4 linked regions of the Saccharomyces cerevisiae S288C genome follow. Changing the gene in region 2 together with the main gene of any one other region gives a genetic interaction. Each region holds a gene or a part of one and is shown on either strand. Other genes may lie near its edges.

Region 1 (3,026 bases), on a different chromosome or scaffold from region 2:
CTTCTGCGGTTACTCCTAAACTAGTCGTAGTTAATGAAAAGGCAGAAACAGCGAAGACAGAGGAAATATCTCAGGAAAAAGAGAACGCAGAGCCTACCGACTCTGCGGAAGCCACGGAAGCTGAAGAAAAGAAGACATCCGACGATAACGAGTTCAAATTGAACGTTTTGAAGGAGCAAGAAGAACTAATAAAGAAGGAGGAAGAGGAAGCTAAGCAAAGAGCTTCGAGAGAGCATGTGCCAGATGATATCAACCTAGATGAAGAGGAAGAAGCAAAATCTGTACCTCCCATTCCGGCCGATCAAGCTGCGAAGACTTTTGTCATTAAGAAAGATTGATATTAGATCAAAGCCTAAGAAAAAAACTAAAAAAAACTAAAAAAAAAAAGTCAATCGGTTCTCTTTTCTCTGACAACAATGGCAAAAGATCAAAGAGAAGCGTACGTCACGGCAAAACCAGCGACCCTTCAAAACTAAATTATTATGCATGTATATAATAGACACCCTATCTAAACTACCGCCTTATTTTTTTTTTTATACAGGAGCAAAGTGTCTTTTTTGTGATGGCCACGAGGGTCCTTTCACTCATGACTCCTTAATCAGCATCTTATGAGCTGGATTTTCATATATCGGCGATTTTTTTCATCGGTAATGCACGCAGTAAAGCTGCTCGCTCGAGAAAAATTAGTAATATATGGAAGAAGAAGCATAAGCATAAAAGAGAAAATCCGCTGCCCCACCGTAGAAAGCAAACAAGGCTATTGGTTATTCCTCTTTTCACCTGTACTTCAATCTGTAGCACATCATCATAAGAGGCTTGAAAGTTGCTCAAGAACAGTTTCAACGGTTTTTTCTTTTGAAATTTGAAAATTGCTCTTCGTTTGTTGAGCCGTTATCAAGGAAGTAAATCATCAATTAAAGAATATAGAAAGGCACAAAATTTTGTCATTTACGCACACTTTCAATGGATCATGAGACAACGAAGGTCTGTAGTAGCAGTTAGCGTAAAGCCCAAAGGCTTCAAATTGGGGCATAAACAGGGTTCCATGTCTACGACGTCTCCACCTCCATCCTCACCAGATGGAAATGTGAGTACATCAGGACCGTCAGCTATTAAGTTATCCAAGAATTGGGAGTTACCACAGCGCCTAAAACCGGGCCGCAAACCGAAATCCAAGCGCGGGGATGCATCAGCTAATAATGATGGATCGTCCAAGATAAAGAAGGTTCAAACTTCCAACCAGAAAGACCAAATGACCACAAAAGATCATGAGAACGAAGGCGCAAAAGGTCATGAGGGGAAATCTGATGATGAAGGCAACGGAAGTGGTGATGAAAACGGTGTCGATAGCGTGGAAAAGCGAAGGAGGCAAAATAGAGATGCGCAAAGAGCATATAGGGAACGCAGAACAACAAGAATCCAGGTTCTGGAAGAGAAGGTTGAGATGCTACACAATTTGGTCGATGATTGGCAAAGGAAATATAAACTGCTGGAATCTGAGTTTTCCGATACAAAGGAAAACTTGCAAAAATCAATAGCATTAAACAACGAATTGCAAAAAGCCTTGCCTTTGATTGTTAATACTCCATTTCAACAGCAGCCAGAAAACCCGCCAGACAATCCTATTTCGATATTAGAAATGGTAGAAAACTTTAAACCAATCGGCGCTGTCAGTTTAAAAAAAGGAAAGCTGAAGGCCCATTGTTAACATCTCATGTGCCCGCGGTATTAACAGACCAGTCTTTGTCTGAGATTGATATAGCCAACGATTATCAATATCTGAGCGGCAGACAGTTTAGTTCAACGAATTCATCGCTTGATGGCCATATTAATTCACCTCTGTCTTCATGCAGCAGCAGTATCAATGCATGTGCAGGCAGTGGCAACAAAAAAATAAAATGTTGTAGGAATAAAGATGCCATGAAACCAGTAACATGTTGCAACCAAAAGAATAACATAATGCCATCCTTAGTCCCCGTTTGCTGTTCAGAAAAGAAAATAGAATCCGATGCTAAGAAATCAATATCGAAATGCTGTGGAGACAAAGAAATCTACGATAGCGAGAATAGACCGATCACTAAAGAGGATGGGTCATGGATACCTGGAAGCTGCAAGCAATGTAGATCAGACCCCCATAGTAGGAATTTTTGTCAATCACTTTCGAATAAATGTAGTTCAAGCTCTTTCTCTTCCAACAGTGCGTTGTCACCGGATCTAAATGAACAACAAACTGACGTAAATTACAATTCAATCAAGCTACCCGAAATATGTTCCTGCAAGAATGCACAAATGAATGCGGCTTCCGATGCAAAGAGGTATCTGCCGATCAGTTACACATATCAAAAAATCCGTCAACATATGCAAAAAAATAAAAGTATCCAAGAACAACTAAATCCTGAGGATTCAACTTCGATCTCATCAGCGTTAGAGAACATTGCATCTGGATTGCACGTTCGTGGACAGAAAGTAGAATTGCAAAGCATCAAGGATGCATTACATAAGATGGACAAAAACGTCTTGGAATGATGTATTTAGAAAGAAAAGAAAAGTGGAAGCATAAATAGTGCATATAGATATAGGTATATATATGAATTTTTTAATAATAATATTAATGATGTTTTTTTATCTTAAGAACATTAAAAGTAAGCGGCGCTAACGGAATAATTAGAAACAATGTGGTAAAGAACGGGGGTGAAAACTCATAAAACCAAGTTATAAAGTTCTGCCAAAGCACGGAATATCAAAGGAATCTCAATAATTCCGGCAGCACCCTTTGATTTCGAGGACGATTGGCTGGACGAAGTAGCAGATGCGGCAGATTTTAGCAAGCTCGTTTCGCTAGCAGAAGGGGAGGAGGAAGATGCCTTTGAAGTCGAGGATGATGATTCAGAAGATGAAGAAGCGGAAGATGAAGATGAAGAGGAAGAAGAGGATGAAGAGGAGGTGTCGTCGTCTTCTTCGTCGTCATCGTCCTTAGCATCACAACTTTGTTGGGTGGCGATTCCGGTTCCCATAGGAGAACCTGC
Region 2 (2,759 bases):
GATTGAAAGTAGGGCCACCAATGCTCTTTTCAATCTATTTTTTGAAAACATGAGAGTCCTAAAAGAGCTAACTTAAATGACCGGGGCAGATTAATTGAAAAGTTTGAGGTTTTTGTGATAATCTTCAAAGTTGAACGCATGTATAAAATGATAGAAGCAACAGTCCATTGAGAAGTATGCCACTATAGTCATATATATATATATATATATATATATATATATTTACGTATTAATTGATAAACTATAATACCAACGGCACTTGATACTTGAATTCATCTTACATTTCCAGTGATGATTTTTTTTTCTGGGACTACGCTGATAAAGAAAAATTGCAAGAACTGAGAAACCACTTGTTTTGTATGGCACTTTGACTTTCGAATAACACATAATGTTCGTTATCAACTGTTTAAAGTCGATAAATGTATAATCACTGCTTTGACATAAGTATATAACATTCCGAGCAGAAATAAATTCTCTTAACGCGTTCTTGTAACTCCATAGAGGCTCTTTGGAACTTTTCGTTTGACGCTCACACCTTTTATTTCGTTAAAGTACCGTTTTGCCAGATCCTTGCCAAAAACCAAAAATATTTTTCTATAAAATAATCCACAGGCATTACACAATGTCACCTCTCCATCAGGACCCTCTCTCCATTGCGGAGAAGTTTTTATCACCGCACACTGTGGACATCTCCTGGTGACGCCTTTCCTCTTTTGGACATTGTGCTGAACAACAGCAGTATTATTCGTTGTGACATACAAAGATGCACTAATGGGTTTAGCAGTATTGATTTTTGTTTGAGAGTGAGGTTTTTCGCAGTCTATTGTCTCCTCTACCGGATTCAATAACGATTCAACGGAGATTCTTTTATATTCTGGATGACACAAAGTCTTAATGTTCATAGCAAATTCTTCCTTCTGGCTTTATATTTGCTTCTAGTTGATAATTGTTTACATTTAATGAAATTGTTTCAAATCAAGAAAAGGTAAGATAAGCTCCCTCAAAGAACCTCTCGTCTTATAATATACTCTTCAAACAGAGCAACAAATATTAATTAACATGCTCGACCATTTGTTCTTTTCCATCAAATTGGACCCTAGACCCTTAAAAACATAGATATGACTGAAGAGGAGGTTTTTGACCTCTAGCCTATTATTCCATTTTACAGAGAAGCCTACTTATTTTCTGTGGCAGGCGGCTAAGCAGGTAATGTTGTCCGCATTTTATCAGAAATACTTGCCAAGAAAAAAAAGGGATTTTCATATAAGGGGATTTTCTACAGGTGTTTGTGTGAGTATGTATTGCACCAAATAAGTACTGTGTTAAAGGTTTTGTTGATGCGTTTTCATCGGGGTTAATAGCGTCTAATCCTTCAAGGGAGCTGTAAGTGATACTTTCATTATGCAAACTAAAGAAAGCTGAAGTCCTGGTACGCCACCTGGCACTTCATCTGGCTTCTTTTATTTTTTTATACACAGAAAATAACTTACTTACACTTTTTTTGGAAATAAAACCATTGTCTCGGGGAACATATACATATATATATATATATATATATGTATATAATACCAACTGCAATAAAAGAAAAGAGTCATATTATAAGTATAATTTTGAATGTTCTGTGCATTTTTCACTGTCGAATAGCTTGCTTGTCATGCCAAATAATGGGTTAAATCGCTGTGTGCTGACAATGTATCAAATAATACTTCCCCTAATTGAATGTGTGGCGCTATCCGTATATCCGGACCCTTTTTCAGGGCCGGTCTTGGCATGAAAAAATGTCAGAAGCATGAGTAGAATTAAGTCGAGAACAAACTAATATGAAGGGGATGTTTAATGTAAAAACGTATAAAAAGGCCATGTTCGAGGTGGATAATAGAACAACATTCTATGAAGACGGCAGCTTCAAGACAGAAAATATTCATAGAGATTAAGAGAAAAAGTCTCGAACATATTCAAATGAAGACTGTCTATTACAAAGAAATCACCTACCAGCAGTATCTTCAACTGCAACCTGAACAACAGGAAAAATACCTGGCTTTATGTCAAAAAGATTTTGAACAAGAGACTGAAAGAATTGCATTTGATCGTCAAGGAGGTGTGCCTGGTATTGCTAGGAAATTTGCACAAGAAGAAGTTGCTTGGTTCGATCGCGTTACAACATGGTCATATATGAATGCTTATATTCCGAGCTACAGAAGAAGAAGAAACCTTTTAAAGATTGATATGTTAAAGATGTCTAATGCTGAAGAATACTGAGAATAATTTCGAGCGCCGATCCAAATATTAGGTTTGCTTTATCTTTTTTTATGAAATAAGTTCATGAAATATGAATACTATACCACTACGCATATATATATTTTAAGAAAATTTTCGAATGAAACTTGATGAAATTAGTCCATTAAAAGTGTATGGGTAATCGAAGAGCCCAAACTACCGTTAGTATAATACTTTGTACTTTGTACTCAATACTTAATACTAATTAAAGTCTGGATTACAGTGTCCTATGATAATTGTGTTAGCTTTTCATCTTTTATTGCGACTACAGTTAAATTTTATGGTTTATTTATTCCTCGTTGTTTCGATGCACGATGCGAGTAATTGCAGGATCTCTTCATTGTGCACGCTGAGTTGTGGTACAATGTCCTCGGGTAACGGTATCGTACCTACCGGTATTTTCACCGCCACTCCACCTATAACATTCATCTTCAAACCATGTAGTACCTCTTGAAGTTGGTCATTACACTTACTACCGCCAT
Region 3 (3,120 bases), on a different chromosome or scaffold from region 2:
ACATACACATGGAATGGAATCATAGATGAAATCGATGAACAAGCACGTTATTTCTTAAACGAATATCCAATCGATGACGACTATACGAAAAAGCGGCCTCAAAAAAGAACCGAATTGACAGGTACATTTTTCTTTCACAGATCAGGTTGGCAAAAAAATACTAACCGTATCCTGTGTTACTGTCGTTAGAACAGGAATCAAGATGAGCACAGTGAAGTTATCTGATAGTCCCTAGACTCTCATTGACTTTTTGTAATATTAGGACACAGAATATACTAAGGGTTCTTCTCGAGAATAAATGAACACATAAGCAAATCAGAAATTCTACATACTATAAGAGTACCTCATACCTAATCATTTCTTAATCCATTCCGTTATCAGTAATTGCATTCGAGGTTCCATTAAACTGGTGCCGACATTTATATAGTTATATTGGTCCAATGATCTTATCATCCTCCACACCGTATACAACTATATCTTAGTAAACAACGGCTAGTAAGTGAAACGATGGTCCATTTTAGGCACGAAGAATAAAGTAAAATCTGTATCTGCGTTGCGCAAATCATCAATTGCATTTATGTTGGAACGAGAGTAATTAATAGTGACATGAGTTGCTATGGTAACAATCTAATGCTTACATCGTATATTAATGTACACCTCGTATACGTTTAAGTGTGATTGCACCTATTGCAGAAGGAATGTTAAACGAGAAGCTCAGACAATACTGAAGCTGTGTTAAAGACCTATTAGTTGAACATGTTATGGTAGGTACATATATGAGGAATATGAGTCGTCACATAAATGTATAGTAACTACCGGAATCACTATTATATTGGTCATGATTAATATGACCAATCGGCGTGTGTTTTATATACCTCTCTTATTTAGTATAAGAAGATCAGTAATTATTTCTTCATTAATACTATTTTTTACCTCTAATTATCAACAATTTACATAGCCCAAAGTCATGAGGAGAGCTTCTACTATAAACCTCACTCACAATTCTTTCTTTAGTCAGACGTAGAAACCTAAGATTTGTTAGTATATACGGTTTTCCGTACCAGTACAAGATCCATTGCTTGCGATATTGTTAAAATAGGGACCATCTTTCTTAAAAAGGTTCCATAAAACCGGAAGTTTTAGTGTACACTAACAACAGAAGAAAAAGGTCCTATAGTGTAGTGGTTATCACTTTCGGTTCTGATCCGAACAACCCCAGTTCGAATCCGGGTGGGACCTTCCCTTCATTTTTCGTATTTTACGAAATTTAAACCATCATTTTTTTTTTTTGAACCAATGCGAGAAAAAAATAAAAAGAGAAAGGTAAGAAAAAGAAACCAACCTCTATACAGATACAATCGCTCATCTCGATATACTTATTTTTACATACCAGAGATATCGAAGAAGTTACTCAATTATTTGACAAGTGCTCATCATTATGTCATTTGAAGTTTTGCGTGTGACAGACAAGTCCTAATAGGATATCCTTTAGATAAACCATTGGGGCCCCTTATATGAGGTTTATACACACACATATATATGTATACATATGGCTAAATTGCCTTCTGAGAGCCTGATAGTTTTTTTAGCACTTTATTCTTTCACTTGTATTTTTTTAGACATTTCACGTATTCGGCTAATGGTATGGCACTTTCTCACGTGCCTTTCAGACTATGTAATATAAACTGTTCTAACCTGCTCTACACCTGACTCACATGACAGCATTTCCTTTCAGAATCACATAACATTTTTTGGTTTTAATTATCATATGCATTTCAAGGGAGTCATACATAACCTTTCGGGAAAGGCCCCTTCGCTTCCTAATCTAGGGTAAAAGGCCATCACAGGCTCTTTTATATAGATTAAGAACTAAGGAAGTGTCACGCAAAATAGTCGAGACCTAGAGCCATCAAGAATAATAAAACATAATCCAATAATGTCTGCATCTACTACAAGTTTAGAGGAATATCAAAAAACTTTCCTTGAACTGGGATTAGAATGCAAAGCACTAAGATTTGGGTCATTCAAGCTGAATTCAGGCAGGCAGTCGCCATATTTTTTCAATCTTAGTTTGTTCAATTCTGGAAAGCTGTTGGCAAACCTTGCCACCGCGTATGCAACTGCTATCATTCAATCGGAGCTTAAATTCGATGTTATTTTCGGACCTGCTTACAAAGGGATCCCTTTGGCTGCTATTGTATGCGTTAAACTAGCAGAAATCGGGGGCACTAAATTTCAAGGTATTCAATATGCTTTTAATAGAAAGAAAGTTAAAGACCACGGCGAAGGTGGTATTATTGTTGGAGCATCGCTTGAAGACAAGAGGGTGTTGATTATCGACGATGTCATGACTGCAGGAACTGCAATCAATGAAGCATTTGAGATAATCAGTATTGCTCAAGGTAGGGTAGTGGGTTGTATTGTTGCTTTAGATAGGCAAGAAGTGATTCATGAATCTGATCCGGAAAGAACAAGTGCTACCCAATCTGTTTCAAAGAGATACAACGTTCCTGTGCTAAGTATTGTATCACTGACTCAAGTGGTACAATTTATGGGAAATAGACTATCACCAGAGCAAAAATCAGCGATTGAAAACTACCGTAAGGCCTATGGTATATGAACTATAGAACTGACATGGACCATTTGATTATCATTGTTTGTATAGGAAAGAATAAATTTTTCTTGTATTCTTTTTTAATCAGTATACGTAAATAGCTTTTTATTGTTGGAGTTACGTGAGTTCTCGCATAGTAATTCATCAACTATTAGTGTCTTTTAAGGTTTCTTACTTTTCTTTTTGTCATGCTTCACTTGAGAGGATTTCTACTACTTTCCATAATTTTTCACTAAAATATTTTTCTTCTACAAAATAAACAAAAAGGCCTTTCGTGTTTGAAGATTACTCAGATGCAAGAATCACACTCAAGTTTAGCCATAAAGGGTGAAAATATTGATGTGTCGGCGGTTTTTTCTCTCTAGACATTTAACAGTTGCATTATAAAACTGTGCTGATTTCGGGACGACGAAATATATTTGAGAACAAACATTACGTGGGGTTTTGATGAGTGATCTTGACGAAGAAAGTCAAATTGAAACTCAGATCGATGCTCCTATCGAAGA
Region 4 (3,643 bases), on a different chromosome or scaffold from region 2:
ATATCTGGTGGAACAGCCACTTTGGAGTCATCAAATCCTGACCTGCCTACAGCCTTACCATTAAGCGTTCCGGTGACTATCATTGATAAAAATGGAGAGATACACAAGCTTCATAACGATGATGCAGCTATAAAAGATAAGTCGCATGACCGTCACGGTCACAGTAAATTCGGTAGGAAACTGAAAAAAATTTTTGGCAGGAAATGATTTGAAAGAAGAAAACATAGGAAACCTAAAATGAAATGTAAGGATATGATGCACTGCCACCGTAATTAAAATAGTTGGCTAGCGCTAGCTTTCTTTTCATTTAAAATTTAATAACTAGTTCGATCACGAATTAATCCAATCTAGTTATCTGAAAAGTGTATATAGAGTAGATAAAAAAAAGGTTTATTAATTATTACAAAAAATTATTATATTCTATAAATTATTGTGTGGCAAAATGAGAAGGGAAAAGTAATAAAAAAATAAAGACAAAGGTGAACTGTAAGGTGAAAAAATTATGCGAGTTTGTCCATTTTCGAGACTGCTTCAAGAGATTCACATAAGTAATCAACGTTCGAATCATTGACTCCGCTAAGCGACAATCTACCATCACCTGTTAAATAGACGAAGTAATTGTTTCTCAATATTTCGACTTGCTTTGGACTAAACCTTGTATAGTAAAACATACCGTGCTGTTGTGCGAAATTTACAAGATCCGGCCACCCTAGACGGTCAAACATCTCCTGTCTGACGTGATGCAATCTCTGAACCATGAAATCAACATCCTTGAACCATTGCTGTTTCAATTTGAAATCTGATAATACTACATTTACCACACGAGAACCGTATCCTGGTGGAGAAGAATACATACCTCTGACAATCTTTTTTAATTGGGAGTCAATATTTTGCTGCAATGAGTTTTTCTGTTGTAGAGGGTTGAACTTTCCATTGTTCGCAGTTGCCGGCGTGATAACGCTTAAGGAACCAACTCGTTCACCATAAAGGCCCATGTTCTTGGCAAAAGATTGACAAAGAAAGATACCGTTACTCCAATTTGGATATTTATTTACATTGAGACATAGCCTCAATAAATATGCGTCCTTTAGTAAGTTACCAGACTCTAAACCCTGATAAGCCATATCAACAATGGGTACCATTTTTAGCTCATATATAGTATCTATAATCTTTTCCCATTGCTCTTTAGTTGGGTCGAGACCTGTAGGGTTGTGACAACACGCATGCAAGATTATGCAAGGTGGGTTCTTATTGTTTTCTTGCTGGTTGTTATATGCAAAGGTTTTCAATTGCTCAATCCATCCGTCGATGTCTATCTGACCGTCCTTATAATAGGAATACCGGTAAATATTTTCAAAACCATTGTTCTGAAAAATGTTCTTATGATTTGCCCATGATGGGTCAGGTATCCAAATATCTCTTGAAATAAATAATGCCAAGAATTTAGCTGCTACAGCTAGGGCGCCTGTACCACTCAAAGTCTGAACAAAGCTGATTCTATCATGGGCTAAATAAAATGGCCCAAACTGCGGACATGATTCCTTGAACAAAAATTTCATAACGTTTTCCTGAAATTCTTTGGAACCTGTTATTGGTAAATATGAAAGATTCTTATTCAACTCTAAATGAGATTCAATCAATTTTTGAGCTTTTGCAACGGAGGGAAACGTCGTCACTTTGCCCCAACCATCTTTATATATTCCTACGGTCAGGTCAATTTTGTTAACATTTTTTACCTTTTTGAAGTGTTCAGATAACCCCAAGACTTTATCTGGAGGTGCTCTTGGTACTCTACTAAGCGATGACGTGTAGTAGGGCCTCCATAGACTGCAATTAGTAAGCCTCGTCCTCAACATCAAGTCTTTCGGCAGTGAAAAACGGATAGTAATTTTCAAATGAGAAGGGAAAACGCACTCAATAGTATGCTATCGTTCAATCCGCTATCGTCTATTCTGTATTTTTTTTTTCTTTTCAATTGCGACGGTTAGCAATTAGATAACCAAGACAGAGAGAGCGAATACTTGCTAGCAATTTATATACGTAAGCGAAAAATGTAAAAAAAAATATGAAAAATGCGGCATCCTAAATATTGGAGCAAAGCAGAATAGTGCTTCCATACTCCAAGATGCCATTTCCGTCGATATTACATCTGACAATAGGAAGATATGCGAGCTATGACTCCAACAATCACATGAGACGGCGTGCAAAACTCATGGAAGCCATCTTCCGCATCCGAACAATATGAATCATCGACGATGGTCGCATGCAAACGCCCTTTAAAAAGTGAAATATTTAAATATAAACCAATTAGTTACAGCAAGTCATTCGTTACTGGAAGTGAAAGGACTTTGATTACGCAAGGCCTTTTCAACTAGAAGTTCCGAATTTTCCATAAACTTCTCAACAACATCTTTGGTCAAACCAGGCGAAGGTAAAATAGCATCGCCTTTGTTGCTGAACATTGTACCACTGCGTGATTCGATAGCGGGGCTCGCAATCAGGGTGCATATTGTTTTCGCATACGTCTCTGCGCTTTGACAGGTCCAGCTGATTATCCATTCTGTAATGCGGCTGAGGTAGGTGTCACTGCCAAGAAGATTATTACGAATGTTCGTTTTGATCAGCCCAGGGTTCAAACCGAAAGTATCTATATTCGTGTATCTGTCTTTAGCGTCTATGACCAGACTTTCATTGGCTGCCACAGTGTTCATATGTGTAGCGTAGGCACTATACTTCTTTTCATCAGAATTCAAGTCATCTGGGTCTCCCACCTGACCATTTCCTGGAAACCCTGCTATGAAAACTTTTGGCAAATCGTCTTTTTTTGTCCTACTAATTCCTAATCGCTTCGCCACATCATGGAAGATAATGTATCTACTCAAATAGCTCACTGCCATGTCTTTTTCCAAACCCTCACTTGTAGCTTGTCTCTGGCGTGATGCAAAAATACCCGTAGTGAAAATCAGATGTGTTAACTCCTCGTAGGGAATTTCATCACTATGAGATATACGCTTGCATTCTGACACTAAACTTAAATCAGCCTTGACAAAGTTAATTTTATCTTTTAGGTCCTCGTCCCTAAAAGTTTGCCCGACAACAGTAACCCTGGCATTTCTTTGGGCCAGCTCTCTACTTATTGCACGTCCAAGTCCACCTGTGCCACCAATTATGGCCACATTAAAACGACTAAAATCAATGTCATTGATATTTTTTCTTTCCCAACTGACGGTGGGATCCTTTTTCCAGAACATCCTGCTAAATGCGCCAATATACTATTATTAGTTTTTCCTTGATACGTGGTAATATTCTGTTTGTTGGTTCACCTTTTCATTCACTTGAATTGTTTTAAATTTTGTATTTATACCTCTGCCGATTATTCCTCCCCTAATTGATGATTGCAGATTATGTAATATATATACATATATGGACGAGGCCCCTAATTGAACAACAAAAATAAAAAGTGTAAAAACATGCTAGTCTCTATATTGATAAAAATACGTATGATGTCCATATAAACTATACGTCATGCAGCTGAAGGAATCTAACTGAATACTTAATAGGTTTCTATAAATTACAAATGTTTGTATTATTTACGCCATCACGCTCACCTTCTTCCCCATCGTCCATTAGAGAATCGGTTTTT

What was found.
Region 1: mutations in YLR012C (region 2) and YOL029C together harm fitness more than expected from each alone (negative genetic interaction), as found in Saccharomyces cerevisiae (one large-scale study listed by BioGRID).
Region 3: mutations in YLR012C (region 2) and URA10 together harm fitness more than expected from each alone (negative genetic interaction), as found in Saccharomyces cerevisiae (one large-scale study listed by BioGRID).
Region 4: mutations in YLR012C (region 2) and AAT1 together harm fitness more than expected from each alone (negative genetic interaction), as found in Saccharomyces cerevisiae (one large-scale study listed by BioGRID).

The regions. Positions count from the first base shown.
Region 1 is NC_001147.6:269,315-272,340, reverse strand, and holds YOL029C (uncharacterized protein), read left to right. Parts: upstream 1-1,920; coding exon 1,921-2,526; downstream 2,527-3,026. Other genes in the region: ribosome-binding protein MDM38, read left to right, coding at 1-338; YAP7 (Yap7p), read left to right, coding at 971-1,708; GAS5 (1,3-beta-glucanosyltransferase), read right to left, coding at 2,700-3,026.
Region 2 is NC_001144.5:169,482-172,240, reverse strand, and holds YLR012C (uncharacterized protein), read left to right. Parts: upstream 1-1,959; coding exon 1,960-2,259; downstream 2,260-2,759. Other genes in the region: GAT3 (Gat3p), read right to left, coding at 477-902; LOT6 (flavin-dependent quinone reductase), read right to left, coding at 2,563-2,759.
Region 3 is NC_001145.3:806,365-809,484, reverse strand, and holds URA10 (orotate phosphoribosyltransferase URA10), read left to right. Parts: upstream 1-1,936; coding exon 1,937-2,620; downstream 2,621-3,120. Other genes in the region: RRN9 (Rrn9p), read left to right, coding at 3,062-3,120. UniProt on the Saccharomyces cerevisiae protein: Catalyzes the transfer of a ribosyl phosphate group from 5-phosphoribose 1-diphosphate to orotate, leading to the formation of orotidine monophosphate (OMP).
Region 4 is NC_001143.9:235,749-239,391, reverse strand, and holds AAT1 (aspartate transaminase AAT1), read right to left. Parts: upstream 1,857-3,643; coding exon 501-1,856; downstream 1-500. Other genes in the region: SEG2 (Seg2p), read left to right, coding at 1-207; YKL106C-A (uncharacterized protein), read left to right, coding at 2,126-2,245; YKL107W (putative short-chain dehydrogenase/reductase), read right to left, coding at 2,322-3,251; SLD2 (Sld2p), read right to left, coding at 3,605-3,643. UniProt on the Saccharomyces cerevisiae protein: Plays a key role in amino acid metabolism. Important for metabolite exchange between mitochondria and cytosol.